2 linked regions of the Bombyx mori genome follow. The protein of the gene in region 1 purifies or fractionates together with the protein of each later gene. This does not show direct contact. Links are inferred from orthologs where the notes say so. Each region holds a gene or a part of one and is shown on either strand. Other genes may lie near its edges.

Region 1 (3,573 bases):
TCAGTGCAATGAGCGTCAAGGCTGACGCCCATAGATAGAATGGGTAGGTACGTATGCTAGCGTGGACGAACACACGGCCCACCTGATTTGTTTATACTATGTTGTCTAAGTCATTCTTTTATCAGTAAAGTGCGTATTTCATTAGAAAGCAATTGTACCTGTTTGCGAGATTTGAACGCCGACGCGGTCACATCACATTATACAAATACACTGGGCGTCTTATCCTTTAGACCACAACTTTTCAATATGCGAACTGATTTTGTGTCATTTAATGAAACTTTCATTTCCCCGTGACGGTCTAGTTGGTAGTCAGGATTATTTTAAAAATAACTAACCAAAAACTACCTTCATTTATCAGTTAACACCTTGTAACTCTAGATCATAAATTCTAAAATAAATTACGTTTAACGACTTATATATTTTTATTATTTGTTAATTGATTTCGGAAAATAGGGAGTGTGAAATATCTGTGACATTGAGCCAATATTATCATATTCTTCTATGTGGTGTGGAATACTTTGAAGCAATTATTTTTCTTATTGTAACATAGAGCCACATCACATTTGTCATATAAAGTTTAGGAGTTTCCAAGTGTTGCACCTGATCGTTTTTTCTGACCAAACCGGCCAATGTACGATTTGATCTAAACAAACTTTCAATTAAATGCATATACATACTAAAAACACTATCTTTGTGTGATAATACACGACGTATTATTTTCCTTAGTATGGTATGTAACAGTAAAGATACAATGAGTTAAAAGAAAATAAGTATGAATTTTTTAAGATTTTTATAATTAGTTACAGAAATGTTACAAGAGGCTACACCGAAGCTAAGAGTGGATAAATTTATCAGCCCCTTCACGAAGATGCTTGTGCGTTACTTCAAAACGCAGGTGCAAAAATAATTATTTAAGGGACTTTTTGAGATACAAATATTTAGGTGTTTGTTATTATTATTTCTAACTTACAAACATTTTTGTGTGAAGTTTGTAGATGTCGAATGCGTCTGGTATTCAAAGTACGTTTAACTATATTTATAACTAGCGGCCCGCTCCGGCTCCGCTCGGGTCTTTAACAAAAATTTCAACGGTATTTGACGTTGTTTAATTTTTTTTAAATAAGAGAACACTTATTGCGGCATAACTATAATAGTTAGACATATGCTGTCCCGACACTTTTTGTAAATAATAATGTGTTCTACAAAGTCGTAGTAGGTACATTATTTTATTCTATCATCAATCGTTTTCGCAGGGCTCGCGATGCAAATATTTTAGGAAAAATTTTTACACCTTGGGTAACATTATTAGAGTTTTAGTAACGATTGCTTTTTTGTTTCAAAAAAGATTACAGCCTATGTCACTCGGGAATAGTGTAGCTTCCAAACAGGGAAAGAATTTTTCAAATCGGTTCAGTTGTTTCGGAGCCTATTCAATACAAACAAACAAACAAATCTTTCCTGTTTATAATATTATTATTATTATTATATAGTATAGATAAGAAAATCGTAGTTAGAAGAAAAAAAAAAGTTAGCATTATGTAGTAAAAGTCAAAAAGTGGTGCAATAAATCTTATACACGATTTTGTTTACTACATTCAAAATCAATCGTCGATATCCGAATATCGTCGGTCATGAAGAATTTATTTTATTTTATATAACGTGAAAATATTTACTTAGTTCGGCATTTTTTTTTACAGAAAATGAGATGTGAATTTCTATAAATCGCTGATGAAAGATTCTATACACTATCAAAATCTATTGAACTATTTATTTTATTGGGAAATCGCTAATCTATTTTACAGAAGCATCGTCAGTCCTTCCTTACGCTACAACCGAGTTTGCGTAATTTAAATCAAGTCAGTCAGAGAACGTTCTCGGTAGCTACATACTTATTTCGTGCGATATCGTGCGTTTCGGTTTGAAGGGTTTGGTAACCGTTGTAATTATACTGAGACCTTAGAACTTATATCTCAAGGTGGGCTGTGCATTTACGTTGTAGATATCTATGGGCTCCAGTGACCACTTAACAACAGGTGGGCAGTGAGCTCGTCCACCCATCTAAGCAATAAAAAAAAAAGACTGTGGTCATAATAATAAATAAGGTGATTAAAGGAACTTACCTTTTATCGGAGCACGGGCTTGAGCTGGCGTGACCGAGGGTCGATGAGGTGCTCGCCGGCTGTATCCAGTTTGATTGCGAAAAGACGACACAGAGTTCCTCAAGAATCTAAAAACAACACAATTAGTAACAATTAGCAACAATTAGCTGTTACTATTCGACAAATGCATAAATTTAATCTGTTAATTTATTTATTCAAATTAATTAAGGTAAAAATAAATCCGATATTACAGTGTAGTCTATTGCAGCCACGAAATAATGGTTCGCTCCGCTTTGAGGGATAGGATATGTGTTGTATCAAATCAATAAGAAATTGGTGACAAATTCGAAGCTAACAAACAAAACCTTATGCTAAAAGGTATACGATAAACGGTACGTTCTCTATTTTAAGTTTGTTTAAAGAAATATAATAATGGGGTTAACTGGCTTACATATTTAAGATATACATTTATTTCTTTGTACTCTTTAAAAAACATTCAACAGTTTTTTTAGTTCAATAAATATCGAATTTATGTAACTAGTGGTACCTGTTTGGAATAAGTGTTGTTGGAGATATTTCTTTTTCCCGACAGTCGGGACATTCATGATCCTCAGATTCCAGTAACGCACCTCTTATGCCTTATATGAAAATAAAATTTCATTATAAATAACCAACGAAAGCGACTCTTGTATTGAAAGTTATATATGAGTCGTCTATTATCAAAGGTGGCAATCTGTGCATTTGGACAAAAAATGTTATTGATATGTCAATACAGATTGATTTGAATATAATCGTCTCCTTCAGAGAATACGGTTCAAAACCTGCATTAAATAAAGGTTTATACTTAACCTGTTATTTATCTAAGATGTCGTTCAGAAGTGTTTTGTGACTGCCAATGGAATACATAGTCAATAATTCGTTTTTCTGATTTACCAATAATTGTCCAAAAGTCACATTGCCGGCTTTGATAATAGTCGACTCATATAGCGACGCTTGAAAGGCAAACGTGACTAAGCGACAATGCGTGAACTTTACAGTAGACTAATTTAACGTTGAAATACCTGAAAAAAATTCTATTTTAACGAATCTAGCTGTAGGATTGAAATGATTTTAATAGACCTAGAAATATATATTTTTTGCGCATCAAATATGGTTATTGCCTATCATTTATGTATAAAGCAGTTATTGTCGCTTAGTCACGTTTGCCTTTCAAGCGTCGATATGTATTCGTTCTTGTACTACATACATTCATCACAAAAAGAGTTTCCACAGCACGGTATCATTACAGCGTCGGTGAGAAGATCGCGACACAGACTACAAATTAGTTCATCCGGTATGGTTGGTTCGGGAGCGCTGGGTGCGCTACCAGATGGATCACCAGCACAGTTCTCAGAGGCCATATAAGCCTCACTGTGAATTAAAAACATTATTTTAATAAATATAATCAATAGATATAACACCGCTTAGCAACAGC
Region 2 (3,573 bases), on another chromosome or scaffold:
TAAAAAAAAAAAATTGCTTAGATGGGTGGACGAGCTCACAACCCACCTGGTATTAAGTGGTTACTGGAGCCCATCGACATTTACAGCGTAAATGCGCCACCCACCTTGAGATATAAGTTCTAAGGTCTAAGGTATAGTTATAAAGCTGCTCCACCCTTCAAGCCGAAACGCATTACTGCTTCACGGCAGAAATAGGCGAGGTGGTGGTACCTACCCGTGCGGACTCACAAGAGATCCTACCTACCACCAGTAATTACGCAAATTATAATTTTGCGAGTTTGATTTTCATTACACTATGTTATTCCTTCCCCGTGGAAGTCTATCGTGAACATTTGTTAAGTACATATTTCATTAGGAAAATTGGTACCCACCTGCGGGATTCGAACACCGGTGTATCGCTAGAGTAATGCTCCGAATGCACCGGACATCTTATCCTTTAGGCCACGACGACTTTAGAATAATAATGATATGTTTCTACTTTTGATGTTTCGAATATTTTATCGAGACGTATTAGTATACGATTACAATATGTACCTCCGGGATGAGGACCAGGCGGCCCGCCTGGATGGGGTCCTCTCATTCCAGGATTATTGGGACCAGGAGGCGTCGACCTGGTCTTTGACTGACTTTCAAACTGATTCAACGCCTGTAGACATTATCAAAGTTTACTTACTTTCACTGAACCGAATTAATTCATCTATATATTTCCTACGCTGCTAAAACTATTATATTATTTTGATTAATATCGGTAGACTATATTAATTACCGATGGACAAAAAAATTACAAATACTAACTTAGATACTACTGTCCACCATCTCAAAACCATGTGGAAGTCAATAGCTATCATATGGCCGAAGCTATTTACTCCTCAATTTTACCAAATGGTTTGCAAATCAATTAACAGAAGCCAATCTCCATAACCATTACAAAGTCGCGGTGGTTTAAGATTCAAAATTTTCTTTTCGGATTTTTTCAATGAGTAGCCTCCGTGAAAACGATTCGGACATTATTGAAAGCTTTAATGTTGCAAAAGGTTTATTAACCACTTTAGATCCATTATTAAAAAAAATGTAAATTCCTTTTTTGTTTTAATTTAAACCACGTTTCAACACCTCATCGCGACTCACGCATTGCCCGAAACCATATTTGCAGAAACTAATCTATTACTAGGAAAGGTTACTAGGTATATTCATCATGAAACTATTTGTGCAATTCATAAGTACCTAATCATAAACTATCTATCTAGTGTCTACTTATTATGCTCATATTTTGTATCAGTTAACATTGACCTTACCTGTTTAGTAGGCAATGTAACTACTGGATGTTGCCCGTGTATCTCCTTCTTAGAAAGACGTTCCATCACCATCCTGACTGATTGATCTGAACCGAGAGATATAACGCAGAATCCTTTGGACTGACCATTGGCTCTGTTCTCAAAGAACTTCACATCTTGAAAATCGGAGACACCGACATCCGAGATCGCGTTCGCAATATCTTGGTCCGTTGCCCACTGGAAAAGGTTTTACACAAAACTCAGCCACGCTGCAAACAGGCAGCCAATACACACAAGTCACATACATCATTTATTATGCCATCCAGTCCACTTACATGCCACTTAAACAAAATCGGTCGGGGTAAGGTTCAATTTAAAGCGCCGTTCACACGCCGTATTAAGATTTTTTTCATTAACACCGAATTATCGAGAAAGTGAATTTACAACACCGCGCTTACGTCTCATAGTAGATCCGATGATTAACGTGAATAAAAATATTTTGAATACTTTTGTGTACCTTTTGACGCGAATTAAAAATCTACAATGTACTTTTCATCAACTAAATCATTAAATATGCCGGAATAGAGCTTTGGGTGAAAAGAAAGAGCTTTTTTGTGATCATACTATTTATTTCTTTATCACAGATAATTTGCATTATAAAGTTTTTTTACAACTCCGAATACTCCAACGGTTACATACTGAAAAAAAACTAGAAGGAAAACAACCATTAACAAGGTAATTATAACATGAACACATTACTTGTAAATGGTATTTCACAAGTCAAATGAAGAAATAAATTTAACATGTGGCTAAACACACACTGATTTTTTTTGTGTGCAAATCAGATAACAAAATTATCGTATCCATGCACTGATACTAGATAGATTTAATGCAATTAACAAAACTTGAAACGACAGCTGTTGAAAGTATCCTTTACAAAGAAAATAAATACTCTAAAATACACACATACAAAAAGTGTTAAATATTATTTATAATTTACACAATCAGTTGATGTCGCGGGGTTTTTTTGTAAACTACCTACATTATTGTTTAGATTAATTTGCACAGAGCAGACGAAACAGTTTGGACCAGGCGATTTGTTTGAGTTATATAATTTATTTATTTTATTTGTTACGTATTACAACATTTATTGTTCGCCTCTACATTTCGCACAAGAATGTTGATATCTCTTCAACATAAGTATCGAAAATCTTCAGATGTATGCAAAAAAATAGCAAAACATATGTTAAAATAATTACTAAAAAACTATAAATACAATACAATCAATTACCTTACCTCGTAACAAACCTGATAAAAGAATAAACAAATCATTACAGATGGGGATGTCAGAAAGTGAAAACTTTCAGCTCAATATCCCAATTTATTGATCAAACACAAGCGGGACAAATAGCCAATTTTACACTACTGATTCTATTATGTACTATGTGATGACTATGTAATGTTTATTTTTTTTTTTGCTAATTTAGCCTATCAATAATCTGATACAGGTAACTGTTTTTCTGACTAAACCGCAAATTTATGGATATTCAATAAATAAACACAACAACATTTTCGGAACGATATATCAAAATTTTGTGTGCGTACAAAATCACACAAACGGTTTCAAAACTTGTTGCTGCAGACATGTTACATCATAATTAAGCAAGTTACTGTAGTGTAGTTAATGGGCAAAAATGGTATTTATATTAATTAGTACATCAACTATTATAAATAAGATTATACATCCTTTCATACTTCATCTCTCACATAATCTTACCAAACCCACATCTACTTGTATGCAAAATATAACTGCAATCTGTGTTGTTTAAGTACACAAACAGAATCCATCTACGTAAACTACGCCAACTCGATTTTGATGATATTCATTTTCTACTGCTAGTATCTTTATGATATGATGATATATATGATTTTATTGTAAAACTCACTGTCTGTATATTTTTGCTATCGATTTGGCTCTATCTCGACAACAGATAGCCTCAAAAGTAGAAGTACAAAACAAACGGAAGAATATAATATAACTTAGCAGTATTATGAAAGGTTATGTAATGCTTTCCACATGAAATAATTTACAATAAATTGCATTACTAAAACAACTAAAATCATATTTAACTTAAATGTTATGTTACAAAATATTTTAGTTGTTTAGTTTCACCTTTTGTAACATTGGGAGGGTAGCATAAATCAATGTAAAATTAAATTTAAATGCAAATCGTAATGTACAATACACCAGGTAAAATAGCAAGAGTGCATTTTTCAATCATAGTTTCAAAATATAAAA

Evidence for each region. The genes of interacting proteins can lie anywhere in the genome.
Region 2: the proteins of E3 ubiquitin-protein ligase RBBP6 (region 1) and cleavage and polyadenylation specificity factor subunit 6 purify together in Homo sapiens (affinity purification with mass spectrometry; 3 studies listed by BioGRID and IntAct, with this or other methods). This does not show direct contact. The link is inferred for Bombyx mori from reciprocal best matches to the Homo sapiens genes RBBP6 and CPSF6.

What each region holds. Positions count from the first base shown.
Region 1 is NC_085123.1:7,885,315-7,888,887, reverse strand, and holds part of E3 ubiquitin-protein ligase RBBP6, read right to left. Parts: intron 3,510-3,573; coding exon 3,346-3,509; intron 2,738-3,345; coding exon 2,647-2,737; intron 2,228-2,646; coding exon 2,121-2,227; intron 1-2,120. UniProt on the Homo sapiens protein: E3 ubiquitin-protein ligase which promotes ubiquitination of YBX1, leading to its degradation by the proteasome.
Region 2 is NC_085120.1:8,924,748-8,928,320, forward strand, and holds part of cleavage and polyadenylation specificity factor subunit 6, read right to left. Parts: intron 1,512-3,573; coding exon 1,296-1,511; intron 647-1,295; coding exon 535-646; intron 1-534. UniProt on the Homo sapiens protein: Component of the cleavage factor Im (CFIm) complex that functions as an activator of the pre-mRNA 3'-end cleavage and polyadenylation processing required for the maturation of pre-mRNA into functional mRNAs.